Callithrix jacchus: one gene and its partners. The protein of the gene in region 1 interacts with the protein of each later gene in a pairwise test. Links are inferred from orthologs where the notes say so. Each region holds a gene or a part of one and is shown in the gene's direction. Other genes may lie near its edges. The genes, in order: FAM9B, CCDC106, SNX20, LYRM2, SYT17, TRMT61B and EBNA1BP2.

Evidence for each region.
Region 2: the proteins of FAM9B (region 1) and CCDC106 interact in binary tests that used the Homo sapiens proteins (3 or more experiments, as listed by UniProt). The two-hybrid records come from large-scale screens. The link is inferred for Callithrix jacchus from reciprocal best matches to the Homo sapiens genes FAM9B and CCDC106.
Region 3: the proteins of FAM9B (region 1) and SNX20 interact in binary tests that used the Homo sapiens proteins (3 or more experiments, as listed by UniProt). The two-hybrid records come from large-scale screens. The link is inferred for Callithrix jacchus from reciprocal best matches to the Homo sapiens genes FAM9B and SNX20.
Region 4: the proteins of FAM9B (region 1) and LYRM2 interact in binary tests that used the Homo sapiens proteins (3 or more experiments, as listed by UniProt). The two-hybrid records come from large-scale screens. The link is inferred for Callithrix jacchus from reciprocal best matches to the Homo sapiens genes FAM9B and LYRM2.
Region 5: the proteins of FAM9B (region 1) and SYT17 interact in binary tests that used the Homo sapiens proteins (3 or more experiments, as listed by UniProt). The two-hybrid records come from large-scale screens. The link is inferred for Callithrix jacchus from reciprocal best matches to the Homo sapiens genes FAM9B and SYT17.
Region 6: the proteins of FAM9B (region 1) and TRMT61B interact in binary tests that used the Homo sapiens proteins (3 or more experiments, as listed by UniProt). The two-hybrid records come from large-scale screens. The link is inferred for Callithrix jacchus from reciprocal best matches to the Homo sapiens genes FAM9B and TRMT61B.
Region 7: the proteins of FAM9B (region 1) and EBNA1BP2 interact in binary tests that used the Homo sapiens proteins (3 or more experiments, as listed by UniProt). The two-hybrid records come from large-scale screens. The link is inferred for Callithrix jacchus from reciprocal best matches to the Homo sapiens genes FAM9B and EBNA1BP2.

Annotation. Positions count from the first base shown.
Region 1 is NC_133524.1:9,247,152-9,251,673, reverse strand, and holds the start of FAM9B (protein FAM9B), read left to right. Parts: upstream 1-1,658; 5' UTR 1,659-1,762; intron 1,763-2,494; 5' UTR 2,495-2,560; coding exon 2,561-2,651; intron 2,652-3,136; coding exon 3,137-3,257; intron 3,258-3,436; coding exon 3,437-3,468; intron 3,469-4,522. UniProt on the Homo sapiens protein: May play a role in meiosis.
Region 2 is NC_133523.1:48,511,560-48,515,962, forward strand, and holds the start of CCDC106 (coiled-coil domain-containing protein 106), read left to right. Parts: upstream 1-1,403; 5' UTR 1,404-1,547; exon of another isoform or gene 1,548-1,656; intron 1,657-2,247; exon of another isoform or gene 2,248-2,303; 5' UTR 2,304-2,348; coding exon 2,349-2,379; intron 2,380-2,488; coding exon 2,489-2,593; intron 2,594-2,689; coding exon 2,690-2,866; intron 2,867-4,393; coding exon 4,394-4,403. UniProt on the Homo sapiens protein: Promotes the degradation of p53/TP53 protein and inhibits its transactivity.
Region 3 is NC_133521.1:8,467,413-8,471,190, reverse strand, and holds part of SNX20 (sorting nexin-20), read left to right. Parts: intron 1-1,226; 5' UTR 1,227-1,235; coding exon 1,236-1,365; intron 1,366-2,823; coding exon 2,824-2,975; intron 2,976-3,778.
Region 4 is NC_133505.1:95,687,469-95,691,672, reverse strand, and holds the start of LYRM2 (LYR motif-containing protein 2), read left to right. Parts: upstream 1-1,302; 5' UTR 1,303-1,328; coding exon 1,329-1,373; intron 1,374-1,404; exon of another isoform or gene 1,405-1,722; coding exon of another isoform or gene 1,723-1,761; intron 1,762-2,446; coding exon 2,447-2,587; intron 2,588-2,950; coding exon 2,951-3,031; 3' UTR 3,032-4,204. UniProt on the Homo sapiens protein: Involved in efficient integration of the N-module into mitochondrial respiratory chain complex I.
Region 5 is NC_133513.1:20,629,731-20,634,119, forward strand, and holds the start of SYT17 (synaptotagmin-17), read left to right. Parts: upstream 1-1,408; 5' UTR 1,409-1,577; coding exon 1,578-1,680; intron 1,681-1,821; coding exon 1,822-1,844; intron 1,845-2,514; coding exon 2,515-2,663; intron 2,664-4,389. UniProt on the Homo sapiens protein: Plays a role in dendrite formation by melanocytes.
Region 6 is NC_133515.1:86,190,320-86,194,596, forward strand, and holds the start of TRMT61B (tRNA (adenine(58)-N(1))-methyltransferase, mitochondrial), read left to right. Parts: upstream 1-1,339; 5' UTR 1,340-1,347; coding exon 1,348-2,046; intron 2,047-4,277.
Region 7 is NC_133508.1:79,936,379-79,940,893, reverse strand, and holds the start of EBNA1BP2 (putative rRNA-processing protein EBP2), read left to right. Parts: upstream 1-1,562; 5' UTR 1,563-1,806; intron 1,807-4,515. UniProt on the Homo sapiens protein: Required for the processing of the 27S pre-rRNA.

The DNA of each region.
Region 1 (4,522 bases):
AGATTGTGCCCTCCTCTTGTTCAGTGTGCTCTGCCTTTAGTTTATTCATTTATTTTTTTCACATTATTTTACATTTGTAACATATTAATTCCCAGATTCATATTTTCCTTTTCTTCATATTTTTCTGATACATATTTTTGTATCATTTTGTTTTAGTTCCATTCTTACATATAGCATGTACTTAGGTTTTTATTTGGATCCAAGTTGGAAGTCATTTCCTTTAGAATGTGAGTTTATCTCATTCATATTTCTTGCTCAACAGATTAACTTGGCCTTAATTCTGTTCCTTTATGTTATGTTATGGTCTTTGTTTGTAGTATTTTCTTTATTTTTCAACTTTTACCACAGGATTTGTATGCTTTGTGTGTGCTCTTTCTCGTTATATAGACATTAAAGGCTGTTGATTAGTTTTCCTGATGACTGCCTTTATAATTTCAATAACATAATGAACCTCTGTAGCTCGATTTACCAACTCTAGGCAGTATTTATTCACTCCCAACTCCAAAACAACCTTTACGACCTATTATAGAAGACTGGAGGTGGAAACAAGCTGAGTTAACGATATTAAGGCATTTGAGGGTGAAGGTTGTGGGATATGTCTGGAAAAGTCTGGAGCATGAGGGTTTGTGGGCAAGCCTGGGCAAGCCTGTGGGCAAGAAAAGTAGTGAGGAAACAAAAAAGGTTGTGGGCCTGGTGGGGTGGCTCACACCTGTAACCTCAGCACTTTGAGAGGCATAGGCAGGCGGATCACCCGAGGTCAAGAGTTTGAGATCAGCCAAAAAATAAAAATAAGAAAATTAGGCCAGGCGCAGTGGCTCAAGCCTGTAATCCCAGCGCTTTGGGAGGCCGAGGTGGGTGGATCACGAGGTCAAGAGATCGAGACCATCCTGGTCAATATGGTGAAACCCCGTCTCTACTAAAAATACAAAAAATTAGATGGGCATGGTGGTGCGTGCCTGTAATCCCAGCTACTCAGGAGGCTGAGGCAGGAGAATTGCCTGAACCCAGGAGGCGGAGGTTGCGGTGAGCCGAGATCGCGCCATTGCACTCCAGCCTGGGTAACGAGCGAAAACTCTGTCTCAAAAAAAAAAGAAAGAAAAGAAAAGAAAATTTAAAAAATTAGCAGGGCTTGGTGTTGGGAGCCTGTAATCCCAGCTCGTCGGGAGGTTGAGGCAGAAGGATAGCTTCGACCCGGGAGGCAGAGGTTGTAGTGAGCCGAGATTGCACCACTGCACTCCAACCTGGGCAATAGAGCGAGACTCAGTGTCAAAAACAGAAAACATAAAAGCGCAATCCATTGATAAAAAGGATGCAGCAGGGCATGTTGGAAGCACACAGGGAATGGAAAGGAGCCTGGGCACCACCCATAGGGTGATGGCCATTCCAGCCAAAGGGGCAGGGGTGGCTGGAACGAGTCCAGGGGCGAGATGCTAGGAGGCCTTGTCCACTTGGCCTCCATTCCGAGTCCTTGCATCCCACCCCAAGAGGAGGAGCCAGAAGATTGTGGGGATGGAGGCCCCAAAGGGCCACCCCAACTTCAGTCAACAGTAAGCCCTGGTCGGTCCCTTAAGGGGAAGGAGAGGCGTGGCAGCAGGGGGTTGGCCCCACACAGTCCTTCACCGGCATGCGCATGCGCATGCGCACTGAGCTGACCAATCAGTGAGGAGCGTGGGAAGCCAGGCCGGGTCTCTTTCTAAGACAGTCTCGTAGTGCCAGTGTCTTCTGTAGGTTCTGTGAAGGAGCCACATCAGGGGTCCCTCAGGTGACGCACTTGAGGCAGGGAGGTGGGAAGGTGGGCACAAGACCGTCTGGGAACCAGGGTGTGAAGAGCTGGGCGCCAGCTGACCTGTGAGGAAATGGTCCTGGGGTCCTCACCTGGGGCCTAGGTCAGGGCGAGGCACTGAGGGTAGACTGGGGTGGCTGGAGCAGGGAGGGAGCTGGAGCCACCTGGGTGGCCCCCCAGGACGAGGGAGTGTTCTGGGTGCTTCTGTAGGTGTGCAAGGGGGAGGGGCTGACGGTGCCGGGGAGGGGAGTGAGGCGGGCCGGGGGCGTTATGGGGGACGGTCTGAGTGGGTCTCTCCTGCCCAGCATCCTGTCAGAACAGGACACTTCAGGTCACTGGAGGTGCCCTGTGCATCCAGGAGAGCGAGTGGCAGTGTAGCTCCTGACATTCCTCTGGAGATGGCTGGGGAGATCCTGTGTCACTCCGCCGCCCTCCCAGCCACTCAGGGTCTCTTGGGGATCCAAGGGCAAGGCCAAACTCTGTCCCAAAGGCGCGGGTAGGATGCCTCAGAGGCCGTGGAGTTCAGGTGTGTGAGGCAGCTGTGAACTCTGCAGCCACCCCCGGGGACGGGCTGGACGGGCCAGGACGGGAGGGGACACTGGCATCTTCTCCCTCCCTCCTGCTCCCACAGGAGACTCGGGGAGGGCCAACCCCACCCATCTTGAACCCGCGATCCCAATGGCTTTCCTTTCTGACGCCTCGTTTCCTTAGCTTCCTTAGTCGTCTTTGCGCTCACCAGGTTCCGGGGTCGCCTCTAGTTTCCCAGGACGGCCAGCCATGGAACGCAGGGGCAGAAAGCACAGCAGGAGGGCTGCCAAGGCCCACTTGGAAGCTCAAGGTATGGCTGCCCAGGACAAAGAGCATGCAGGTAAACACAGCCCAAGGGGACCCGGAAGCAGGCGCACGCCCAAGGAGACGTCTGTCTGATCTCTGCTGGGGATCACACTGGCAACCCAAGGTCCCCGGCCTCTTCATGGCTTTGGAGTCCACTGTGCACGTGCTAAGACATCCCGGTTTTCAAAGCAGGCTCGAGGGCCTTAGACTTCCCACGGGAGGCTCCACCTCAGGCAGGGTTACAGGTGCTCTCAGAGTAGCTCTTCTCCATGGCTGAGGTCCTGGCGTCCAAGGAGTCTGACCTGTAGTGTGTCGTTTACTGGGACTTGAACCCCAAGGGCTTCCAAAAGTGCCTCCATTAAATGGTCAGGAGCCGGTGATTCCACGTATAGCCCTGCTTTAAAGCTTTAGTTGGCAGACAGCCAAAAACAAGTCCACAAACGGTACGTTTCTCCATGAAAAATGTCCACAACAGCGTCTTCCTCTAAAAACGGATTTGTCTTTTAAATTTTGATGCAGGAAAGGATCCAGTAATTGATGAACGTGAGGAAAGAAACCCTTTTACAGAAACAAAGGAGGAAGATGTAACTGCTGAGCAGGGGGAAAGAGAACCTCTTGATGAAACAGATGAATATGAGGGGTAAAGTGTGAAGTCACTGTTGTCTGTCGGATAGAGCCTTTTAGGAAAAGTCAGCTTTGGATCATGTCATCACCGTTCTAGTCTATGCAGAACATTTCACATAAGACATTTTTTCCCAACAAACACGACATTTTGTGTAGTCCTATGTTAAAATTTTGATGTAACTTTTTTTTTTATAGGGTTGATACCAACAAGCCAGAAGATATTGCAGGTATGCCTTAGGAAGTATCTGTAGTTTATGAAAATTGTTTTCAACGGTACAACTGTTACAGTAGGTTATGTGAATTAGTGGATGACAGACTGTCTTACATGCCTTCTTCTCATATGTAGCATTTAACTTAAGTATTTACCATAATCTGTTTGATAAATTTTTCTTACCTTTGTGATCATTAATGTGTAATGTAAGAATGCTTCTAACAATGGTGAATCGAGAGGGATGGCTTTTCTTTCATACACATGGAAAGTTAATTGTTGGGGGATATTAGAGGACATTGGAGGAGAAACAGCTCTATTCAATCCTTTCAGTGTACACAGATTAAGTCATATATCAGTTTTTTTTTCAATCTTTTACTTTAGGTTTGAGGGTACATGTACAGGTTTGTTAGATACATTGCGTGTCACAGGGGTTTGGTGTACAGATTATTTTGTCACCCAGGATTATAAGCATAGTACCTGCTGGGTGGTTTTCATCCTCACTCTCCTCCTGCCTGCCACCCTCAAGTAGGCCCAGGTGTCTGTTGTTCTCCTCTTCCTGTCCCTATGTACTCAGAGTGTTTAATAGGAGTTTTTCATCTTTCTAATTCAGCTATTCTATTGTCACAGCTTTCTGATTTTGTTTAAAAAAATTGAATTCTCGAAAATGATTTTCTATTATTATTCCAGCAATAAACTGTGTAGTAGAAAAGGAAAGACAACTTTTCTACCCAGTGGGAAACATGTCATTGGATCCAAAAACTCATACATTTTGTATAGGCATGTTACATGTTAGTTGCACTGACTGTTATAGGACCGTATTTTCAAAAAAGTTTGAGAAAATTTCTGTAGAGATGATGGAGACAATACTCTTATTTTTAAAAAGCTCAATTCAGTTTTCAGCTTTTCTATAGCGATAATACACATAAGCAGAATATTTGGAAAGCTTTGCTCGCTTGGTGGTGACAAAGTGCTGGTTTTGTGAGTTGCCTAATACATTGAGTGTGTTATAGATTGATACTGTATTTGAAAAATATTTGTATTATGGTGCAGATCTTTTATGATTGCTGAAA
Region 2 (4,403 bases), on another chromosome or scaffold:
GTCTCGGCTCACTGCAACCTGCACCTCCTGGGTTCAAGTGACTCTTCTACCTCAGCTTCCCAGATAGCTGGGATTACAAGTGTGGATTACCACGCCTGGCTAATTTTGCACTTTTAGCAGAGATGGGGTTTTACCATGTTAGCCAGATGGGCCTGGAACTCCTGACCTTGGGTGATTCACATGCCTCAGTCTCCCAGAGTGCTGGGCCTCGAGACAAAAATTTCTTTACCATAGTTAGCTTTAGTATGCAGATTTTTTTTTTTCCATCAACTGTTATTATTGTTTTGAGATGGAGTCTTGTTCTGTCACCCAGGCTGGAGTGCAGTGGTGCCATCTTGGCTCGCTGCAACCTCTGCCTCTCGGGTGAAAGCGATTCTCTTGCCTCAGCCTCCTGAGTAGCTGGGATTATGGGTATGTGCCACCACACCCGGCTAATTATTTTTTTAAACTGCTGATTCCACCCTGTTTTGAATTCTCCACTTACGATCTTGTACTTTGGAAGAGGCCAATCTAGGGCAGGTGGCTCGCCCAGGAATTTTTGGACCAGGTTGCAGTTTATCTGTAAAGTGAGCTGGGGAGGAGAGTCATGGTCACAGCTTTGCAGGAGGTGCAGACATGTAGATTCTCTATGGAGTGAAGACCTCGCTTTCTTAAGAGCTGGCTGGATGCTTCTGGTGGACAGGAGAGGCAGATGGAGCTGAGTGCACTTTCCTTGCCTGTTTTGTGCCAGGCCCTGTGCTAGGCCGCGTTTGTTCTCCCGACCTCTTTTGGGAGGAGGAACAAATCTGTTTCAACTCCCAGAAGTGGGAAAGAGCCTCACAGAGGCTGCGATCACACCCCATCATGTGGCCTCAATGCCGGCAGCGCCCCTCTCTTCAGCCCTGCCTATGGCCAGGTGCTGGGCTGCGCTTCTGCCTGTCACAGCACCGCACGCTGGCAAGAAATTTAGGGCTTGTCATGTCCCCATTTCACAGGTGAGTTAGCAGGCTGGGGAGGGGCAGGAACAGTCTGGACTGGAATGTAGCTCTGCTCCAAAGCTAGCTCTTCATTACCAACATGGGGGTGGGGGTGGCGTGTTCCTGGCCCTCGCTTTCCGGGAGAGGGTAGCTTCCCCCATTTTGGCCCCCACGTCCCTGGGAACCTTGGAGTCTGGCTGTGGGAGGCGGGGGCTCTGGGCGGGTCCGCGCTGGCTAGTTCCGGAGGGATCGTTAAAAGTAGATTCTTTCGCTCCAACTCTCCTGCCTTCTCCGGGGCCCACTGGGCACACCGCCACCGAACCCGGGGACCCCCGGAGACTCTCCGGCTCGCCTGGATGGGAATTTCGTGACGTTCCCTGCCTGAGCTTCGGGGAGGGCGGGGGAGTGCTGTAAGGGACCATCGCACAAGTGCATCCCCCTGCTTCTGCCGCAAACGACAGGCCTCACCTGGACCCAGGGACTCTCGAACGAGGCGCGCTGGCCTAGCCCGACGGGGCGAGTCCCCACGTCCCTGTCCGTTCCATCGCTCAGTTCCACGGCTCGCTACCCTGCCGCCCCGCCTGTTCGCGGGTGAGTGGGCGCTTCCCTCGGCTCCCCGTGACACTTTGCAGACATTCCCCGGCGCCGGGCATGGGCGCCGCCGCCGTCGGTCCCCGAGCCGGATTCCACGCGCGGGTGGGTGAGCGTGGGGGACCGCGGCCCCTCGGACCCCGGGCATCCACGGTCAGGGGATGGTGGCCGCGTTTGCACCCCCGGCCTGTTGCATGACCCCGCTGGGATCTTTCCACGACTGCTCCCCCCCAACCCGCGGGACAAAGGGCGGGGGCGGGGGGGGCGCATCCCCACGCGTGACCTTTCCCCGTACTGCGCACGCGCCCAGCCCCCACCACCGGGGGAGGGCTCGCCCGCCCACGCGAGTGCGGGGGAGGGGCATGGAGCCCAGGGGGTATGGGAGGCCGCGCGCACCGGCCGGACCTCCCCCTATCCTGGGAAGTTGGGGCAGTTTTCCCTTGCACCTGCCTCTTGCTTAGGCCTGGAGGTGGCCTGCGATGAGCCCCAGCAATTACCTAGGGCTTCCGCTTCTTCCTTTCATACCCAGGAGCCCACGTCCCCAGCTCACTTCTTCCTCAGGACATAGGCGGCTGGGCCCCCTGCCCCTGTCTCTGGGAGGCCAGGAGTTCGAACCTGGACGTTTGGCCTCAGTCCTGGCGTCCGGGCTCCCTCCTCCCTCAGACCAGGGTTCCCTCCTCTCTCATCTCACCTCCCCCAGGATGGACCCTCGAGTCCGTCCGCGTCCCTCCATTTGTGGCTGCTGTTTCTGTCCAGTGCCTCTGAGGCGCTCGGCTGCTGGGGTCCACAGGAAGCCACACCATGAATGACCGGACCAGCCGGAGGCGGACAAGTGAGGAAGCTGGGTCCCAGTGCTATTGCTCCAGGCTGCCGTGGTTGGGGGGGGTGGGCTGAGGGGCTTGGGAACTCCTCTGGGGTGACCCAGGGCCTCTCCTCTCCAGTGAAGGAAGATGAGGCCTTCGAGATCTCCATCCCCTTCGACGAGGCGCCCCACCTAGACTCCCAGATCTTTTACAGTCTGAGCCCCTCTCGGGGAAACTTCGAGGGTGAGCTGAGGGGCCGAGGAGGGATTGGAGCCAGCTGGGAAGCCAGGCCCTGAGTCCCAAGGTGTGACCTGGGCCCCGCCCTTGCTGTGTCCCTAGGGCTCCCTGAAGACACATCCCCTACCCGGGCCCTGATGAACAGCGTCAAGGCCCAGCTGCACATGGCCCTGGAGAGGAACTCCTGGCTGCAGAAACGCATCGAGGACCTGGAGGAAGAGAGGGACTTCCTGCGCTGCCAGCTGGACAAGTTCATCTCTTCCGCTCGAATGGATGCAGGTGTGTCTGTGGGACACACTGGGCCTGTCACCTCCCTGTCCCGCTCCTGGGCACCCGCCTGCCCAGGCTTGAGGCTCCACTGTTTGGCTGTGTGGGACCTGCCATGTTGGCCCTCTCTGCTAGTCCCCTGCCTGTTTCCAGGCCTCAAGCCCAGCTTCCTTCTCGCTTGGCCTCCAAGGCCTCAACCCCATGAACGATCTCCTGGGGCCCGTTCTGCCTTCTCCATCAGCCTCAAGTGTCCCACCATGTTTCCCCAGCCCTGGGTGCTTTTAGGGACTCAGGGACCTGAGCTTCTCTCTTCCGGACTCCTAGGGGATGTTCCTGCTTCTCTTTGGCTGAGAAGCCCATCCTAGTCCTCTGAGTGTCCTCAGGGGCCCCCGCTTCTCTTCCCAGGCCTGTCTTCTCTGAGATCCAGGAGTCCAGCCATCTAGCCTCTTCTGTCCCCTCCCCTGTGTGACACCAGGGGCTGTCTTCCTACCCACCGTGTCCCATCCTTGGTTAATGAGCACTCCTTCCCCATCAAAGAAGTTAAGTCCCTTAGTGAGGCTCTTCAGGTGGGGCCTCAGCATGTGCTGTCCCCCAGACCCTGCACCAGGTTCCCAGGCAGTCCCCACCCTCGTCCCTTGCTCTAATTCATGACCAGAGGCAGCCCACTGCCTCAGCCAGCTCACAGCTATTCTCTTCTGACCGCTGGGACCCTGTGCCCTGCTTCATACATTTGAGAGCCCAGCCCCAACCTTTTCTCCAGATGGTCAGGCCCTTTGCCCCAGACCCTTAGCCCATGTCCTGAAGACCCACTCTACCTCACCTACCCTCAGCTCAGCCTTGGTAGCTCCCTGGTTGGGAAGACCCCTCAAAAGCTCCCACATCTCTCTTTGTAAATTCAACCCTTTCCCCCAAAAGCGTGGGCTAGGGGCCTGTGGCATCTGGGGATCTGCCGTTCCCTGTGCTCTGAAGCACACTGCCTCCGGCTGCCCTTGCCTGCCACTGTCTCCTTCCACTGACTTTCTGACTCCTTTGCACGGAGGTTGGGCCCTGCGGCCCCAGCACTTTCCCAGCGGGGACCCTTGCACCAGACCCCTCCCCTAACCCGCCTTCTAGAGGACCCTGTGTCTGGGTGGAGGTGGGACCCAGCCTGCTGCACCCAGGGCCCCTGATTTCTCTCAGGGTCTGACCCCCCGACTCCAGCCAAGGCCTTGCCTGCCTCCTGGGTTCCCAGACCCAGCCCCTCCTCCATGGGAAGCACACACAGTCACAGGGGTCCTAAGGTCCTTGGTTCTGGCTGCTTCCCCAAGATCTCTGACCAACCCAGGCCTCTGAGAAAACGCTCCACCTGTGAGCACCCCCCACAGCCCCCAGCTGGCCCTACTGAGCCCACCAGTGTCTTTGCTGTCCTCCCTGTCCATCTATCTCTGTAGGGGACCAGCCCAGCCTGGGGGATCCAGTTCTGGGGACTGCAGCCTCTGTCAGTCCCGGGACCTGTGATGGGTTTCTGGTCTGGTAGCTCATGTGTGTCTCTCTCTCCAGAGGACCACTG
Region 3 (3,778 bases), on another chromosome or scaffold:
TGTCAGCCACAAGGTCATCTCATCCACTTATCTGGGTCACAGACAGAGTTATTATGTGAACCAGATGCCAGCTGCCTATTCTCCCTCCCTGAGTAAGGTGGAGAGAATTTTGAAGTCAACCCAGCCTAGGTCTGTATCCTGCCCACCACTCACCAGCTCTTCATTTTTGGCAACTCTGAGTCTCAGTTCCCTTATAAAAGGGAGAAGAAAACTCCTGACTGCAGCCAGCAGTCAGGCTAGTGCCAACGTGTGTGCTGGGTATCAGGCACATACTGGAATGTCACTGAGCACTGGGGAAAAACTCACCTTTGCTTGTTGCCCACACTCACCAGCTGCATGACTTTAAGCTAGACCTCAGTTTCCTCATCTGTTATTTGGTGGTAATGATAGATTTTTGTGAGCATTAAACTAAATTAGGGGCTGTGAAGAACCTAGGTGAAATCGGTACAACTAATTTTGCTGATAGATGGATAATGGATTGATTGATCTATAGAGGATTCATACCAGCGTATCTACCTGCTCTGCGCTGAATACTGAGATTTCTTTTCTTTCTTTCGTTTTTTTTTTTTTTTTTTTTTGAGATGGTCTCGTTCTGTCACCCAGACTGGAGTGCAGTGGCATCATCATAGCTCACTGCAGCCTCAGTCTCTTGGGCTTAAGGGATCCTCCTGCCTCAGCCTCCTGAGTAGTTGGGACCACAGGTGTGCACCACCACCCTTGGATAATTTTTTTACATTTTTTCTAGAGACAGGGTCTCACTACATTGCACAGGTGGGTCTGAAATTCCTAGGCTCAAGTGATCCTCCTGACTCTGCTTCCCAAAGTTCTGGGATTATAGGCATGAGCCACCATGCCCAGCCTGAACACAGACATCATTTACATGTGTAACGTAAAACTGAGTATCTGGACAAGCCAGCATCTTTCTCTCAAGTAATCGCTAAAGCCAATCCTTTTGCTTGAAATCATCTCATTTAAAACTCTGAGCAGTACGTAAGGACCACCTCAATAACACATGGATCATCACAGTAGGCGAAGGGTCTTCTCTGCCTTCCTGCGCAGCAAAGGGGCAGACCCAGGTTTGGGATCTGGCAGCTGGGAGAGCGGTGGGGCCATTGTCATTCCCTCTGCTTGCCAGCAGGGGACATGACACAGCTCCTAGGCACTCCAGGAGCCAAGGGGAACCCCAGTTGGAGGGGGTACTCACTGTTCTCTTGTTCTTCTGGCAGACTTGGAGCATGGCAAGTCCAGAGCACCCTGGGAGCCCTGGCTGGACGGGACCCATAACCCACTGCACTGCAAGGACCAAGCAGGAAGCACCAGCCACTGGCCCTGACCTCCTGCACCCGGGACCTGATGGGCACTTAGGTGGGCTGGAGGCCTGAGACTCGGTCTGGGGGAGATGTCGGAAGACATTCAAAGTACAAATGTGGGTCGCTTTGGCAGATGCAGCAAGAGGCCTGGGCAGCTCTTGTAATTTGGGTTATCCCAAAGCAGACACTAAGACACAGATCTGTGCAAGCTGTTTATCCGGGAGATGGTCCTAGGAGTCACAGCAGGAGAGTGGGCAATCGAGGGAGCGCAGGGCAGGAGGCCAGTGCAGGGCATCAGTGAACAGATGCTCATGGTAGGTGGCTGAGGCCCAACTCCAGCAGGGGTCTTCTGGGAGACCCTGGAACATATCTCTGGGTTGTCCTATCCCAGGGGTGAGGAAGCCAGGCTATTATCTACCAGTCCTTCCCTGCATCAGAGAAGGGACGCTCCTGGGTCTGCTGCTACCGCCCTGGAAAGCCTTCAGGGAAGCCAGTAGCATGTTCTGGAAAAGTGAGTGCCAAAAAGGCATGGCCCAGCCATGGGCAAGGACAGCATCTGCTGTAGCGCCATCTCCTGGAACAAACCTTTTCTTACAATCCTTCAAGATTCCCCTGTTGAACACCTGCTCTGTTCCCGGCCCTATGCAGGGCACTGCGGAAGCAGGAACAGAACAGATCAAACACTGCACTGGCCCTGAGGTTTGGCAGAGAAACAGATCAGTGAAAAGTAGTTAGACGTGCCACAAAAAAAGGCTATAGGAGCAAGGTGGGAGGTTCTTATTCTAATGCCAAGGGGCATTTGCAGTGGTGCGGGGGTTGGGTCTTGAAGGGTTGATTGGAAAAGAGCTGGGACCCATGGCCTTATAAAATGCGCAATTATTTGCACTTCTCAAGAAGCTCAGAGAGGTTCAGAGCTCAAGTGGGGCTTAAGAAAGACGTGTTCATTTTCCAGGCATGGAAATAGAGGGTTGGATGCAAAGCAGAGGAGTGTGTGTCTGAGAAAAGCCTGGCACGTGGGCAGTTAGATGGGAACGTTAGGAAGGTCCAGCCCGCTGAGGCTGGAACACAGCATCCTCATCACTCCCCCCTCCCCTGCCCACCAATGTGTGCTCAAGAAGTCCTGGCAACAATCATGAAGTCAGGGGTGCAGGGAGCTCAGAAACACACAAGCCACGGTCTCTGCTTGTCGGGAGCAGGGATTTCACCAAGGCCAATCCGCAGACCAAAGCCGGATGATGCAAAGTGCCTGCACTGCATTTCACAGCTGAGAAACCACTTGGGGATGATGGGCTATTTGAGATTGTCAGTTGGAGGGTGGATTCAGCCAGACTGGACACAGAGGTCTGCCTGATGCCCTGCTTGGTCCTATAAATGGTGGGGTGGGAGTGAAAGATATTCAGCACTCTTTAGGAGTCCTGATGTCCCATCTCAGATCCACCTAGCCATCTCCCCAAGCCCTTGCCTCGAAAGTGCACTGACCGGGTGCAGATCCTAAAGGGTGCTGTCCTTCCAGACATGCACAGCGGCCTGAGCTCCAACTCTAGCATGACCACGCGGGAGCTTCAGCAGTACTGGCAGAATGAGAAATGCCGCTGGAAGCACGTCAAACTGCTCTTTGAGATCGCTTCAGCTCGCATCGAGGAGAGAAAAGTCTCCAAGTTTGTGGTAAGCAGAGATCAGGAAATGGCGGCGCCTCTTTCACTCTGCTTCCTTCCTGCCCCTGAACAAATCTTGTGGGGCCTCAGCTTTCCCAACTATGAAATGGGTCGACACACTCTAACTCACAGCATTCTTCCAGAGAAAACAGCCAAAGAGTAAGATTTCAGGCTCAGTACTGCTAGCGTCTGTGAGGATTCCAACCATACAACTCATGCTTCTTGGTCCTAAGAAGGAAATAGTCCGGTTTCATCCCATCTTATCCGGTGTAGGTCACCTGTATCCTTTCTTCACCAATTTTGCCATATCCCTGTATCCATTATAATTATTATTACTTATTGTTTTCTTTAAATTGGATCACATTTTTAAAACACAAGATACATTTATTTCGAAGAGAAATACCTTAAAGGGAAAACCAACATCACATGGCATAAAAAAAAGTAACTAGAAAAGCCATACTGGAAAGGTCAGTCAATACAAGGAAAGCTACCCGCTGCTGTTAAATTCTAGCTGGGTACTGTGGCTTTGGGAAGGCCCTGAGCCCAGGGGCTGCTCTCCCTGTTAGACTGGAATTTTAGCTTGTGTTAGGGAGATGTTCAAGATGTCCTGAGAGCCGCACTTCATCCTCCTTCACTTCCCTGGGACCAGGATAATAACAAAGCTACTGCTGACTGCCAATGGCATGCTGGGCACAACTCCATGTGGTTTCAGGGCATTGTCTCATTTAATCCTCACTGGGTGAGGTAGGCACTATGCCTGTCCTCGTTTTATGAATGAGAAGACTGAGGCTCGGAGAGATTAAATTACCAATC
Region 4 (4,204 bases), on another chromosome or scaffold:
TATTTTAATTTGATACAACACAATTTGGAAAATTAACATGGCAAAGATTTGCTAACTCCACTTTTAGTGACTTAACCTAAAGGCATGTGGTGTGTATTGTGGAAAAGATAAAACAGTTATAAGGAAAGAAAAGCAAAAGCCTGAGGCTTAGGGATGTTCTGCTCCTCCTTATGAAAAGTGCTTAAAACTGCCGTGGGAGCCAGGCGCGGTGGCTCAGGAGTTCAAGGCCAGCCTGACCAACATGGTGAAACCCCGTCTCTACTAGAAAAAAGTACAAAAAAATTGCTGAGTGTGGTGGCGCACGCCTGTAATCCCAGTTACTCAGGAGGCTGAGGAAGGAGAATCGCTTGAACTCAGGAGACAAAGGTTGCAGTGGGCCGAGATAGTGCCACTGCACTCCAGCCTGAGTGACAGAGCAAGACTTCGTCTCAATAACAAACAAAACAAAAAACCCCGCAGTGGGGCAGCCATTCAAAGCTTTGTTTCAAAGGCTCATGAAGGTCACCGTTCCGGGAAAACGCTTGTATTAGAAAAGCACAGGACGAACAGAGAGAGAGATGCACTCCAAGGCTATTCATATTGCCAAATCTTTTCCTCTCTTAACACAACCCTTGCCCCTCAGACACGCCTCTAGAGGCTGAGCCAACCTCTGTTCTGCTGTCTCAAGACTTGTGCCAAGTGGGATCAAATGAAGTACTGCCAAAAGAACAAATGCTTTTCCCCTCTTTGCCCACAAAAAACCCCCCCTTATTTTTTTCCCCCGAGACTCGCTCTGTCGCCCAGGCTGGAGTGCAGTGGTGCAATCTCGGCTCACTGCAACCTCCACCTCCCGGATTCAAACGATTCTCTTGCCCCAGCCTCCCGAGGTGCTGGGATTACAGGCGTCTGCCACCACGCCGGGCTGGTTTATTTTTTGGTAAAAACGGGTTTTCACCATGGTGGCCAGTCTGGTCTCGAACTCTTGACCTCAGGTAATCTGCCCGCCTCGGCCTTCCAAAGTGCTTGGAATTGCAGACCTGAACCGCCGCGCCCGGCCTCCTTCACTCTCATTTGATGAACTCTCTTTACCAAAAACCGTGCTAAGTGCCCTTCTTTCGTTATCACAACGACCCTATGAGGCACTACTATCCCATTTTACCGACGAGAAAACTGCAGCCAGCGCAGCCCATAACCTGCTCCAAACCCTAGGGCCTCAGTCCCGATACCTCGCGCTCTTAGTAACAAACCCGCCGGCAGTCTTCCAGGAAACCAGGCTCGCCACACCCTCTGGTCGGAACCCCCCCACTTCCGCTCCTGCGCGCTGAGGCTCCGGCGGACCGCTCGCGGACATGGCCGCTACCCGTTTACCCCCAGCGACGCTAACATTAAAGCAGGTGCGGTTCTCTGCCTTCCAGAGTAGCTTACCTGGGTCTCAGCGTCTGGATTCTCCATCTACCCTCCATCTAACGGGGCGGGTTCCGGGATCCTGACGCGGCGCGCGCCCTCTGATACTAGCCCGACGCCCGCGGGGCGGGGCTTCGCACCGCGTAGGCCGATGGGAGGCAAGAGCCGCTGACTCGGTTTAGTGCGGTCGTGTCAGGTGCGCCAGGTGCTTAATTTCCTCAAGTACCGGCTCCGCTGCTACTCAGTGCAGCTGTCAGTTGCACTGAGCTGTGGCAAATGGCAAATGAGATTACCACAGATTTGAACAACTGTTAATTTAGAAAAAGTGCTGTCGTCGTGATGACAACTTCTAGGAGACCGGCAGCCCTTTTCAGCCCGGTAGTCAGCTCCTGATTTGTGTGTGTGTGTGTAGAGACAGTCTGACTTCGTCGCCCAGGCTGGAGTGCAGTGGCCAGATCTCGGCTCACTGCAACTTCCGCCTTCCGGGTTCAAGCGATTCTCCGGCCTCAGCCTCCTGAGTAGCTGGGATTACAGGCACGCGCCACCACGCCCAGCTAATTTTTGTATTTTTAGTAGAGACGGGGCTTCACCATGTTGGTTAGGCTGGTCTCAAACTCCTGACCTCGTGATCTGCCCGCCTCGGCCTCCCAAAGTGCTGGAATTACAGGCATGAGTGAGCCACCGCGCCTGGCCGATTTTTTAATTGTTCTTAGGTTTCACAGAGGAGTAAGCAGAAAGATCAGATGAACCTCGTGATGCTTTCTTTAAAACATGTTTTTGAGACAGGGTCTTACTCTTGCCCAGGCTGAGGGCAGTGGAGCAATCAAGGCTTACTGCAGCTTACACCTCCTGGGCTCAGGTGCTCCTCCCATCTCGGTCTCCTAAAATCCTGGGATTACAGGCCTGAGCCACTGCACCTGGCAAAAAAAAAAAAAAAAAAAGTCTTTGCCTTTTTCGAAATTGACCAATGAGAAGGATTCTGGTTACAGCTTGTTTGCTGAAGTAGAACCTTCCAGGCTGGCGGTTGTGCAGTAGTAATTGTTATTTCTCCTCTCTTTTACAGTTCATAAGAAGGCAACAAGTTCTTCTCCTCTACAGAAGGATTTTGCAAACAATTCGGCAAGTTCCAAATGATTCTGATCGCAAATACTTGAAGGATTGGGCAAGGGAAGAATTCAAAAGAAACAAAAGTGCCACCGAAGAGGTGAGAACAAAATCATGGTGTGGACAGACCCTAATTCTTTTAATTGTTCAGTGAATTTTTTTTTTTTTAAGTTTAGCAGACATCTTGGAATATAATGCCACCGAGCTGGCATAGCTTGATCATTGCTTGTAATGTTACCGATTTTAAATGATATTTTAAAATTTAATATTGCTGTATCTGTACTCTTCAACATCATCACTTGACTTTTATGCTATGTATTATATATGTGGAAATCTTTTGGCTTTCCTAAAAGGCAGCAGTTCCAGTACCTAGTATTGGTTCTTGATTTTAACAAATAAAATGGTATAGCTATACCTTGTTTAACCAGGTAAAACAGTAACCAGATTTCACTTTATTCTACAGGACACAATCCGGATGATGATTACTCAAGGCAATATGCAGCTCAAAGAGTTAGAAAAAACACTTGCTTTAGCAAAATCTTAACTATATCATTATTCTGAAGGATTTTCAAAGTCTCCATGTGTTTTGTTGCATTTAGGATTAATGATGGACAGCACAAAGCCCAGTCTTACTATTTGTATGTACAGTATTTGCTACATTTTCAAAATGTTTATGGATGTCTCTGCAGTTTTTAAAAGAAGTAAAAACCACTAAGAAATGGCCAGTTAGCACATGAAAAGATGCTGGACATAATCATTAAGGAATTGTAAATCAAAACTATGAGGCAGGGTGCAGTAGCTCACGCTTGCAATCCCAGTACTTTACGAGGCCAAGGTAGGTGGATCACTGGAGGTCAGGAGTTAGAGACCAGCCTGGCCAACATGGCGAAACCTTATCTCTACTAAAAGTACAAAAATTAGCGTGGTGTGGTGATGCATGCCTGTAGTCCCAGCTACTCGGGAGGCTGAGGCAGGAGAATCATTTGAACCCAGGAAGCAGAGGTTACAGTGAGCTGAGATCATGCCATTGCACTCCAGCCTGGGTGACAAGAGTGAGATTCCATCTCCAAAAAAAAAAAGAAAACACACAACTATGAGTTATCACTTCATTCACTAGAATGGCTGTAATTAAAAAGAAAAATAATAAAAGTGTTGAAGATGTGCAGAAATTGGAACCCTCATACATGCTGGTGGGAATGTAAAATGGTGCAGCCACTTCAGGAAACAGACTGTCAGTTCCTCAAAAGATGAAACAGAGCTGCTGTATGATTTAGCAATTCTACCCCTAGGCCCATAACCATTATTTGGAAGTAAAAAAAAACAAAGGACTGATATATGCTAATCATGGATAAACCTTGAAAACGTTAAGTAAAGAAGCCAGTCACAAAAGATCATGATTCCATTTAAACGAAATGTCCAGAACAGGTGGAAAGATTAGTGGTTGCCTAGGCTGGCTGTAGGAGAATGGAGTAACTGCTAATGGGTGGAGGGTTTCTTTTCAGGGTGATGAAAATATCCTACAGTTAGCTTGATGTGTAGGTTGTTCAACTCTGAATATACTCAAATCCACTGAATTGTACATTTTAAATATAAGATATGAATTGTATCTCAATAAAGCTGTTATGAAAAACAACTCTTAGGTGTAGGACTGAGAGTATACTGACATCAGGAGATACCCTGGAACTTTCTCGAAAAATCCTGTATTATCCCTGAGGGT
Region 5 (4,389 bases), on another chromosome or scaffold:
TCTTGACAGTCACCTAATTATAGTCACAGACAGGGTGCATTTTGTTTTTCAGCTGGACAGCAAGCATTTGCATGGTCAGTGTCCTGTCCTACCTCAACAGCACCCCTTTGAGGTATAGAGTAGCTTTTCCATGAAAGAAGAGGTAACCAATGCTCAGAGAGGCCCCTACTTGCTCAAGTCACATGATCAGTTGATGGTGAGACTAGGACTCTAGAACCTCTTGACTCAGCTTGTTGTGTGGCCCCTTAGCACCTTTGGGTCTTGTTCTGTGTATGGTTTTGGCTTTAGAGACATTTGTGATGAATGCCTTTAGACTATTTCCCAAGCTGTTATTCCCTTACTACTTCAAGGATTTTGAATTTCTCACAAGCCATGTGCCACCTGTACTATTATTATTATTATTATTTTAGATGGAGTCTCACTCTTGCCTAGGCTGGAATGCAGTGGCGCGATCTTGGCTCACTGCAACTTCCTGGTTCAAGCAATTCTCCTGCCTCAACCTCCCCAGCAGCTGAGATTACAGGCATCTGCCACCACACCTGGCTAATATTTTGTATTTTTAAAAGAGACATGGTTTCACCATGTGGCCCAGGCTGGTCTCGAACTCCTGACCTCAAGTGATCCAGCCACCTTGGCCTCCCAAAATACTGGGATTACAAGTATGAGCCACTGCGCCCAGCCCTACCTATGCTATTATTAACTTTTTTCCTATAAATGGGCTCACTTTTATTTTTACTTAAAAAAAAATGGTATGAAAAGGAAACATGTCATGACTCTCATAGGAAATCCAGATCATGTGACATAGGCAGAAGGCAACTAGAAGAATAAGCATAATGGGAATGATGCCACATTGCTGAATTCTAGGTGGATGGGGCTATCTTCAAGGCTCTGAGCTAGATCAACTTCGTTTGTTTAAAAGGAAGGGGTTGGGGGAGGGTAGGAATTGGTAAGTGGTAAAAATACAATGGTACCAAATTGAGACTTTCTCCTCCTTGAAGGAGAATGGGGTGGGGGTGGGGGGAAGATAATAACTTTCTCCCCATTGATTCAAAGTTCTGAGTTTGAGTCCTGCCTCAGTTCACCTCTGGGACATGCCCGAGGTTGGGGTGCAGGACTTCTATCTAGTCCACTTGGCCCATTTGGAAAACCATCTTAAAGAGAAGGAGGGAGTTTGTGCTTTGAGAACCCAGGAGACGAAGATGGGGAGGCAGGGTGGGAGCACAAGAGGAGAGGGAGGGCCTCACAATAGAAGAGGAAGGGAGGGCCTCCCTCCTCAAGAGGACCAGATTAGGGCTTCCTTTTCAGTTCCCTCTGTTTGTGGGTGGTGATAGGAAACACCCCACTATCACCATTGGAGCAGAATTGGAAGGTAGGGCCTCCTGGAGGGCGGGGGACCCAAGTACCATCCACTGTGTGCCTGCCTGCATGTTAGCTAATCATGTCCTTTCGGGTTGGCTACATGGCTATTTCTGTATAGGAAGGTTTGCTCTTCTCCTGAAGTGTGGCTGTATTGGATAGCATGACTATCTATCTGCCCGCTCTGATTCATAACAGCATACGGTGCAAATCAGATCGAAATGCTAGAGTTTCTCATTTATTTGGTGTTGGTTAACCGGGAGGCTACCAGCAGCCCTGAAAATAGCAACACCTTGTTAGGAAGTCAGCTTCCTTCCCAGGATGGTAAGTGGAAATATGCAGGGCTTTTTTTTTTTTTTTTGTAAATTTTTTTGAGTTGCTGGAATATTGCTAAACTGGTCTTGTCTCTCTTTCTTTAACCCCTTCATTCCCTTACGCCCTTGGCTTCATCGTGGATCTTAAAAGGGCAGTTGGAACCATTAAACGAGGTGGGTTCATGTGATGATTTGTTTGGTCTGGTTTCTAATCAAGAAATGCCTGACTTTCATTTTGGAGTCTTATGTGGGGCTGTGGGGATATTGAATATTCTACAGTAACCTGGTTGGTGTTCATAACAGCTCAGTTTCCATTCCTTTTACCGAAAGGAGATCCCGGTTTTGAAAAGACACCAGTTGACAAAACAAGTTTCCCTCTCCACCCCTACTTATTCCGTTTGATTATCTCTGTCTGTTTCATGTCACCGAGATTATTTTTAAAAAATTTTTTTCCCGGCTTTTCAGAAGACAGAGTAATATGCATTCTGTTTCAAGAACATATTGTATAGCCTCATGATGTCGTATAAACCACCCACATGTCAAGAAAGACGTTCACATAAACTACAAAAGAAAATACCTGCAAATGTTTCACTTGCTACTAATGGCCCCAGCAAGTTGATGTTTGCTATCTTTGTGCCTGCAGTTGGTAAATAGAAATGGAAAACATTTTGTTCTAAGTGCTGAGCAGCAGAACCAGAACCCTTGAATGTCTTTTTCTCATCCAAGATCGGCTGCTTGTAATTTTGGGTGTTGTTTCTCCTTCTCCTCTTCCTCACCCTGCCAACCTCCCTTCTCCCCTTGCCCCCCGCCCCCTCCCTCCTCCCCCCTCCCCCAATGGCCTCAGGGTTTTCTTTCTAGAATCTCTGATCTGCTGCTGTGCAGATGGACCTGCCGGCACTGCTGTCAGAAGTGCTACGAGTCCAGCTGTTGCCAGTCGAGTGAGGATGAAGTTGAAATTCTGGGACCTTTCCCTGCTCAGACCCCTCCCTGGCTGTAAGTAAAACTGCTCTGAACTTCTCTGAAATCAATTTCAAGACTTTTCCCTTTTTCTGAGAAGGGGGCTGGGGGCCTGGGCCATGGGAGGGAGGATCTGGGGGGCATGAAAGAGCAGCAGGCTGAGTTTCCATGGACATCTTTGCTACAGACTGGGGATATGTTCTGTACCCCTCATTTTGTTCAGCAAGCCGGCGAGACCAGCTGGTGGTGTGGTTTTAGTTCACCTAGTGGCACATTGGGCCTTTGGAGATATGAACTGTGTAATGCTAAGCGTGTGGGACGTTTTAGTCATGTGGAATGTTGTTCTGAGCAGAGAAGGAGGTCTGTGAGTCTCTGTATTCTTCAAGGGCTAACCACATTCTGAGGTTTCCATCCAAGTCAGCGTGACAAGATTTCCTGGCATCCAGTCCAGGGCCTGCACATAGTAAAAGCTCGGTAAATATCCATTGCATGGATGGGTAGACGGAATAAAGAAACAAGTGCTTTTTTGCTGCTCTGAACAAGAACTTCAGAAACAGGGAAGCAGAAAAGCACCTCCGGGCTCCATCCTGTCCTCCAACGCTGTTTATGTTCTCTCTGGCATCTTTCATTTTATTTCTAATTCGCTCTCCTCCCGCGCCTGCATACAACATCTCCATCTGCCAGTCGCTCAGATATTTTGGGAACGCAGTTTTGAAGCTTCTCAGCCACGTGTCTGGTCCACCTCTCCGTGACTGAGAGAGGGAAGTGGTCAGAGAGCCTGGGTACAGTCAAGAAGGTCGGGGCTGAGAAGGGTCAGGAAGACATCAAGTGAGCTCCTCATGACTCGGAGGGGCAGGCCCAGGAGGGAGAGACAGCAGCCAGGACCCACAGCTGGAGCCTGGCAGGGTGGAAGGAGACAGTGCTGTCTTAGCTCAGTCCGTGGCCTGAGATTCCAAAAGTCTCTGGTGCCCTGTCTTTCTCTTCAGGTTGGGGCTCATGCCTCAGGCCTCTCATTTTTTCTTCTTAGAAGCAAGTATCAAATATTTTCACAGCAAAATGGCTCCGTATCCAGGCTGTGTAATCTTCACTACTATTTCTAGTTCTGTGACCTTGAGCAAATTGATCTCTCTGTGCCTTGATGTCCCATCTATAAAATGCGATGCTAAAAAGAATGGTATTTCTTTTTTTTTTTTTTTTTTTTTTTTTGAGACGGAGTTTCGCTCTTGTTACCCAGGCTGGAGTGCAATGGCGTGATCTCGGCTCACTGCAACCTCCGCCTCCTGGGTTCAGGCAATTCTCCTGCCTCAGCCTCCTGAGTAGCTGGAATTACAGGCACGCACCACCGTGCCCAGCTAATTTTTTGTATTTTTAGTAGAGACGGGGTTTCACCATGTTGACCAGGATGGTCTCGATCTCTTGACCTCGTGATCCACCCGCCTCGGCCTCCCAGAGCGCTGGGATTACAGGCTTGAGCCACCGTGCCTGGCTGCAAAAAGAATAGTATTTCGATCAGAGTTGTGGTAGGGAGTCAATGAATCTGGAATGTGGAAAAGTAGTTGGGAATGCTTGATACCTTGTCGGCGATTATAAATGTAAGTAATTCTGGCTGGGCGCAGTGGCTCATGGCTGTTATCTCAGCAGTTTGGGAGGCAGAGGGGGCCGGATCACTTACATCGTGAGACCCCTCCGCCACCCCAAGCTCACCAAAGTGTCGAAAAATTAGCCAAGTATGGTGATGAGTGCCTGTGGTTCCAGCTACTCT
Region 6 (4,277 bases), on another chromosome or scaffold:
TCGGCCTGGGCCTCCCAAAGTGTCGGGGTTACAGGTGTAAGCCAACATGCCTGTTTGCCCAAATTATTGAATCTCCCTGGGCCAGTTCTTTTACTCATAAAGTGGCTTTGCTACGGAATTGTAACAGACTCTCCATAAACTTTTGCCCAGTGAACCAATATCCAGCAAAGAGGCTAGTGAATTTTTTTTTTTTTTTTTGAGAAAGAGTTTTGCTGTGCCACGCAGGCTCGAGTGCAAAGGTGGTTCCATCTTGGCTAACTGCAACCTCCGCCTCCAGGGTTCAAGCTATTCTCGTCCGTCAGCCTCCCTTGTAGCTGGTATTATTACAGGCGTGCACCATTGCTCCCGACTAATTTTTTCCCCCGCGGAATGGAGTCTAGCTCTGTCGCCCAGGCTGGAGTGCAATGGCGTAATCTAGGCTCACTGCAACCTCTGCCTCCTGGGTTCAAGCGATTCTCCTGCCTCAGCCTCCCTAGTAGCCGGGATTACAGGCGCAAGCCACCATGCTCAGCTAATTTTTGTATTTTTGGTAGAGACGAGGTTTCACCATGTCGGCCAGGCTGGACTCCAACACCTGACCTCAAGTGATCCGCCTGCCTAGACCTTCCAAAATGCTGGGAAGCTAGTTATTTAATGTTAAATAACTTTGGGCTCCAAAGGTATGTTTCCATTTTAAGCCGCTTCTATTTTGGGAGGTAAACTAGTTATATTTTAATCATAAAAACATCTATTACGTAAGCACATAGTGAATACGCGAATAGACCTTCCCGGATGGGTGGGTGAGGGGACCGGCAGATGTTCACAGCCCCGTCTAAAAGGACTTGGGGCTGGGGGATGTCCCGGTCAACTGGGAAAGGAGAGCCGGTCAGCGAGTAGCCCGTCCCACGCCGTCTGTCAAATGCATGCCGGGGTTAGCTCTACTCATACATCTTGGGGGTGACTAGGTAACTTCCGTGTTCAAGAACACAGCGAGCTAAGCCTGGGACTTCACAGCTGCACAGCGCTTTGGCCAGTTTTGTCTCTCAATCTTCCGGTCCCCAAGCGAACCTGGAGGACGTCTGTTAGCGGTAAATTCTTCCCTTTGCCCACATTCCTAAAGTGAAAACGGGCGCCTGCGCGCGAGGACATACTCCTTTGAATGGTCACTAACCCAGCAACTCACGCGACTTCTGCGCCACTGCTCCACTAGGCCGACCGCCTCCTTCGCGACGCAGGCGCAGTCGCGGAGCTGTAGAGCCCTGCGCAACTGTGGGAGCCTCGGGCTGCTGAGCCGTGCGCGCGACGGTGAAAGGAGTGGTCGCGCGGGGCCTGCGTCACTCGTCTGCGACGGCGCCTGCGCGAAACACTATGCTGATGGCGGCGCGTTGCGGTCCTGTTTTGCTATCCCTGCGGCAGGATCTCGGAACCAATTCATTCCTGCGCCGCCCGGGGCAAGAGCCCTTCAAGGGAGCTCGGTCACTGTGTTGCAGGTCCTCGCCTAGAGATCTGAGAGACAGAGAAAGAGAGCACGAGACAGTACAGAGGAAAACCCCAGGAGCAGAGTCTTGCCCATCTCTTCCTCTGAGCATCTCGGACATTGGGACTGGATGTCTTTCGTCAGTGGAAAGCCTCAGACTTCCGACGCCGCGGGAAGAGTCATCCCCTCCAGAGCGCGAGGACTCGAGCGGAGACCGGGGCCGGTGCGGTCCCGCACAGCAGGGATCCGAGGATCCCTCGATGCTGTCGCAGGCCCATTGCGCTATCGAGGTCAAAGAGCCTCATGTCTCCTCTTCTTGTTCAGCTTCCAGAGAGAGACCCTTCCAGGCTGGGGAACTGATTTTAGCTGAGACTGGGGAGAGAGAAACACAATTTAAGAAATTATTTAGGTTGAGCAACGTCGGACTCTTAAATAGTAACTGGGGGGCAGTCCCGTTCAGCAAGATCGTGGGGAAGTTCCCTGGCCAGATACTGAGGAGTTCCTCCGGTAAGCAGTTCATGATGAGGAGGCCAGCATTAGAAGACTATATATTATTGATGAAAAGAGGGGCTGCCATAACGTACCCAAAGGTAATGCGATGGAGATAAGGTGTGTATTGGTTCCAGGAGGAGCAAAGACAGATGCAGTACTCAGTCCTGATCAGTATACTCAAAGGACAGCTCAGAACGTTTGGATTTTTTAAAATTATACTTAGCCTTTTAAAATAAACCAATGGATATAACTTTTACATATCACGATGAAAATTAGAATTAGCAAACAACTAGATTTTAATTTTAACTGGGAGTCTCGATTCCCTTGTTTGTAAAATGTGGGTAATATCTCAACTTTCTGTTAGTGTGATGTGAACTCAGTAGGTACATAATAAGCACTAATTTTGTTCCTCGTTACTCAGGATTCAAGAGAATGCTGAACTCTTAGGGAACAATTTTGTAACACTATTATGGTGATATTTTAATCATATTCAGTAGGGCATGTTATGAGAGTATATTTTATCAACAATAGATACGGTGCTTTTCTTGTTAGGGAAGAAATAGAGTTTTGTATTAACATAGCTAACAGTCAACACTAAACATAAAATGACTATTCTTTATTAAAAAGTTAACTGCCTAGAGCCTACTTTCAGTCTTTTTTGAGACAAGTTCTCACTGTCATCCAGGCTGGAGTGCAGTGTCATGATCTTGGCTCACTGCAATCTCTGCCTCCTGGGTTCAAGCAATTCTCCCACCACAGCCTCCTGAGTACCTAGGACCATAGGCGTGTGCCACCACACTGGGCTAATGTTTGTAGAGATGGGGTTTCTCCATCTTGCCCAGGCTGGTCTCCAACTCCTGATTTCAAGTGATCCACCCACCTCAGCCTCCCAAAGTGCTGGGATTACAGGCGAGAGCCACCGTTCCCAGCCCTAGTTTGAAGTTTATGATAATCATCTATTGCTAGCAGTTTGTTTCAATCCTTAGTCACAGTCACAGTCCTTGAGTAGAATGTTCCTGTGTAACACAACTCTCCCTCCTTCTCCAGATCAGGATTCATTCATTATTTATTCAGCAAATAATTGACTGCCTTCCATATTCAAGGCACTATTTAGGGCGGTATAGTGTTGAACTGCAGTCCTTGCTCTCAACGTAGACCTTACACTCTGGAAGGGGTGACAAAGAACAAACATGTAAATGAAAGAATAAGGTCATTTTCAGTAGTATTGAGTGTCACGAAGGCAAATAACATTAACAATGACATCGTTTTGGGTGACCTGGGGTAGGAACATAATTATGTCAGGTGAGTAGAGATGGTCACTAAGGAGATACACTTGATAGGAATCCTAAATAAGGAAGAGCTTGCCTTGTAAAGATCTAGGAACAGAATTGTTCTTGCAAAGGGAGGAATACAGCAGCATTCCTGTTGTGCCTGAGTGGGTCAGGTGAGGGACCCAGTATGAGGTGTGGTTGGAGTATTTTATTCCATGTATAGTGAAGGACCATTGGAAGGTTCTGAGTAGGAATCCAGTCTGTATTTTAAAAGGTGTACCCAGGGACTAAGAAAACTTAGGCTGCTGAGGTATCATAAGCTTTTTTGTCTTTAAAGACAGGGTCTCGCTGTGTCACCCAGGCTAGAGTGCAGTGGCTCAATAACCTCTTACTGTAGCCTTGACCTCCTGGCCTCAAGCAGTCTTCTACCTCAGCCTCCTGAGTAGCTGGGAGCACAGGCGCATGTCACTATGCCTAGCTAATCAAAAAACATTTTTTTTGTAGAGTTAGGGTCACTCTAATTTGCTCAGACTGGTCTCAAACTTCTCTAGGCTCAAAGGATCCTCCCTTGAGGGTGCTGGGATTACAGGTGAGGACGACTGCTCCTGGCCATGGTATCATAGCTCTTGAAGAAAACTAAAAGACTTCTGTAATTTTATCTTGCTTCCCCATGTCTGCTTTCTCCCCATTAGACAAAATCAAGAGAGATTAGTTCTATTTCATGAAGTTATAAATATGCATCTTTAATGTACTTTCTGCCTTTCCATTTGTCACAGATAAAATTCCATTCTAAGAAGGAATTTAAATACTGAATTTGCTAGGTGCTGACTTCTCTTTATGGCCTCCAAATAGGCTGCAGATAGTTTGACTTCAACTTTTACAACTTTGAAATGCTTAAGAGAATACCTCCACTGATTTTTAAAAACTGATCTCCCTGTAATCCCATCTTAGTATTAAAAATATGACCAGAGGCTGAGTGCAGTGGCCACGCTTGTAATCTCAGCATTTTGGGAGGCTGAGGCAGGACGATAATTTGAACCTGGAAGTTTGAGACCAGC
Region 7 (4,515 bases), on another chromosome or scaffold:
TTGGGATGGTCCCTGAGAATCCACCCTGGTGTCACCCCCAAATCTCCCCTGGGAAAGCCCCCTCTGCAGCACTGTCCCTTGGGAATGCCTCTCAATGACCCCAGGGGAGTGCCCTGCCCATAGAGTACCCCCCACCCCACAAACCCTCCAGGGAGTCCCCTCACCCAGGTTCTGAGCTCTTTGCCTCTGGCTCTCTCAGTCGCTTGTCCCATCCCGGCTGGCTGAGGGAGCTGGTGCCACGGTGGATGATGGGATGATCAGCCAGAGATAAAGCCTCATTCAGGATCTGACTCACATGGCCTCAGCTGTCACCACTGGTTCCTGGGGGGGTAGCTGTGGGTATGGAGGGGGTGCTTATGACTTAACCCTTCTGGAACCAGAAGCCTGACTGACCTTGACTCTTCTGTTTTAGGGCTGTGTCTCCTCCTTCTCTGTGGGTTAGGACCAGACCCCTAACACCCTCCCTCCCCTAACATCACATCCAATCTCACAGCCACAAGTTTGGTGATATAAACTGCCAGTTCCCAAATTTCTCTTTCCAACCTAGACCTCCCTCCTGAGTCAGCTGTCACTTCAATGTCCCTGGTGATGCAACAGGTCCCAACCCAAGCTTATTATCTTACCCCAACCTGCTCCTCCTGCTTCCTCACTTCAGGCACTGCATCCCCACCCTCTCAGCCAGCTCCTCCTCCCTCTGCTGTATCTGTCCTGTCCCCCGGCTCCACTTCGAAACATTTCTCCAGCCAGTTCCCTGCAGTCATCTCCACGGCCCGCCTCTACCTCCTCACTGGTCTTCCCGCTCTCCTCGCTCTTCTCCACACTTGCCATTCCCCCATGCCATCCTCCTCCATGATCCCTCTAAAGTGGAGCAAGGAAGAAGGAGGGCTCTGGATTTGGACACCAGCTCCAGTCCTTCCCACTGGCAGGAGCCTGGCCAGGCACCTAGCAGTGGTTGCTCATTTAACCTGCCTTCCAGAGGACAGCATGTCTCACACTGGGTAGAAATAAAGCACATGTGGTCCCTGCCCTCAGGGAGCCCCAGTCTGCAGCAGGAGAGAGACAGAAGCAAACAGGCCCAGTCCCTGTGCTAAGTGCGGGTGTGGACCCTGCAGAGCCCAGAAGAGGGGCCTGGGGGAAGGGCCAGGAAGCCTGAAGGTTTCATCTCTTAGAGTCTCAGTCTCCTTATCTGAAAAGTGAGGACAATAACAAAAAAAAAGTGAGGGGTGGGGATAAGTCACCTGACATCTTTGTTTCAGAATTCCAATGGGGCCTAGAGCCTGCATAGATGCTCAAAGCGTGCTTTTTGAATACATGAAAACGATTTACCCCCTCCAAGGCAGGACAGTGCAGAAGATGTAGGTCCTGGGTCATTCTGGGAATATTACTATGTGGCTGTGCACAGGTTACATCCTGTTGAGGTATCTGTCCTCCCCGAGACTCCTCTGCAGAGGCTGATCCCTACCTTCTAGGTGGGTGGGGGCTGGTGCCGCCATCCCCAAGGAAGTGGGGGAGGTGGGCGTGGCCAGGGAGTCAGTCCCAGCATTCCCCTGGGCTGTGGCTTCGCTGGTCTGAAAGTGCTTGCACAGGTGTGCTGAGCCAGTGGGGGCCAGGCTGGGGGTGGGGGTGGAGGTTCTCCGAGGAAAAGCTAGTGGGAGAAGGTGGGGACGGTGAGGCCTGGGGGGACTATTGGGGAACTCACGAGAAGCCTGGACGTGCTGAATCCGATCCGAGAAGGCAGGGCCAAGCAGGTGGGGCACTCCAGCTCTGTTTCCGGGGAGATACTTCACCTGCCTAACCTGCACTCAGGTGAGTGTGGGGGGAGGAGGATGAACAGGTGTCGTTTCCAGGGCAGGGCCTGAGCCGATTGGCTGACGTGGCACTGCTCCTTCTGCTTGGCAAAGGCATTCCTGGGAAGGGAGGGGCTTCTGTCTGCTGCTGTTAGGGCTCGGAACACAATTCGCAGACCTGGTCAGCAGGAGGAATGTCGTCTATCTGCCCCAGAGCCTGGGCGCCAACCCGCCCCCAGCTTTGACCCTGATTTAGCTTTAGCTCCAGTTTCAAAACCAGCTCCCAACTCCAGCTGCAGTTGCAAACCCTAGCTAGAACTTCCAGCTTCCACCCCGGCCCCAGCTCCTGCCGCACGTTTCGACCCCAACCCCCAGCCCCGTTTCCAAACCCAATTCCAGTTCCAGCTGCAAATCCAACCCAAAATCTGGCTAGAAGCCTCAGCCCCCAACTCCTAACTCCAATCCAAATTCTGACTAAGATCCTAGATCTCAACCTCACACTCAGCCCGAACCTCAACTCCTGTTCCTGATTCCAGCCCCCAAAATCAACACCAACCTCAAACTCAGCTTTAGCCCCAAATTCCAACACCACCGTACCCCCAAATGCAGCCCCAGTACCTCCATTCCTTGGCCCTGGGCTGGAGCCTCCACAAGCCCCTTGCTCATTCTCCCTCAAGCCTCAAATGCCTGGCTTACCCCACAGACTGGATCCTGCTGGGGAAGCAGGATTTGAGTGAACAGGGAATGGAGTGGGGGCGGTGAGGGGGTGAAGGCCTTTCAGGTGGGAGACAGGAGCTCCTAGAATAAACACTTGAAAATCAATGCCACACTCCTTCACAAGGCTCAGAAAGCCCCTGCCATATGCACCAGGCCAGTCATTTGCCACTGGCACCCTGCTCTCCTCTCTGCTCTTCCCGTTTTTGAACTTAAGAGTTGTCCCTTGCCTGGGATATTTGCCACTCCCAGCCTCAGTCTGCGTGATTTGCATTCTTCAATGGAGATGCCACCTCCTCCAGGAAGCCCTCCCTGACTCGCAGGCTGGTTTAGGTGCCTCTTTGGTGTACCCATGGCCTCTGTGCTTCCCCAACAACTACTCTTACTGCAACGTGCTTAAGTGCCTTTTGTGTACTTACCTGTCATCCCCTGCTAGATGTGTGGTCTCCAGCAAGTACAGGGACAGTGCCTCTTGCTAATCATCATGACCTCAGTAGCTAATATGTAGGAAGTAATCAATACATATTTGTTGAATGATTGATTAGTGGATGAAATGAAAGTGTGAACGGACAGGTGTGGGGGTTTTGAGCAGGAAGCATGTGAGATGAAGCTGGAAAGACAAGTTTGGCTAAGGCTGTTCATGGCCTTGAAGGCCAGAGTGAGGCACTTGGACTGTGTAAGGTGCCCATGGAGAGTTCTGAAGTTTAACAGGGACATCATTGGAGCTTCTAGTAGGCAAATCTGGCACTGCAGACACTACCCTCTGGACCGGCGAAGGGCAGGCTGGCTGGAGTGGGTATAAGCTGCCCCCCATCTCCTGGACCAGTCCCTGTGATGTCTCTTGCTCTCTCCTCCTGATGTGTGAACTAGAAAAGAAAAACAAGATCACACTTATCTTGCAATTATCAGTTCACAAAATAATTGTGCTTGACCTGCTTTTGCATCTTTTTGCTTTGTTCCGTGGGGATGACTGGGGGCCAGTCATAATTCTAGAACAGCTCTGTCCACTAGAAATATAGCGTGAGCCACATATATAATTTAAACTTGTCAAAAAGCCGCATTCAAAAATGAAAAAGAAACCCACAAGATTAATATAGTTAAATTAATATATTTTATTTAATTCCAAAACACATTATATGTTGTTGAGCTATTTTACAGTTTATCTTGCACAGGGTATTTTATTTTTATTTTTAAAAATAGAGATGGGGGCCTTGCTCTGTTGTCCAGACTGTTCTCAAACTCCTGGATTCAAGCGATTCTCCTGCCCTGGCTCCCCAAAGTGTGGAGATTACAGGCGTGAACCGAAAGTCTTCAAAATTTGGTGGGTATTATTTTACACTTACAGTGCATCTCATTTATCCCAGCCACATTGCAAATGCCCAGGTACCACATCTGTCACGTGGCTGTGTCCTTACTGGGTGGCACAGCTTTAGATGTCCTTTCCCTCCAGAAGGTCAGGGCAGGCTGGATCAGAGGATGGTTGGGAGGAGTGGGGTGGGGAGACAATGGTGTGGCATTGCAGGTGTTCATGCTGCCACTTTGCAGAGCATTATAAAGGTATCCCCTTTATAATAAAGGGGCTTGACTCAGAGGAGCAAGGGAGCCAGGGGCCCCACAGGGCTTGCTGGCTGCAGATTCCGCTTGCACACATCTGACATTTATTTACCCACCCTGGTCCCCAGGAGGGTCCAGTCCCAGCCAGACCCATGGGCCAGCTGTCTCAGGCAGAGCTGCAGCAGGTGACCGATGACGTTTTCCTTCCCTTTCCCTTTCCCTTTCCCTTGGGGATTTGAAGGGAACTTTTTGGATGGGAGAAAAAAAGACTAAAAGCTTCATTGGTATAAATATTGGGCAAGTGTCTGTTCTAGTTCTGGGTCTTATCAGGAAATGTGGAGTCAGGTGGAAAGGCAGGCTCCTCACAGGGCTGTTGAACTCTGTCCTCCAAGCAGAGGTTGTTGGGGTAATTCACATGGACGACGGTGAAGGTCAGGAGTAGGATGTTGCTGCACGCCTG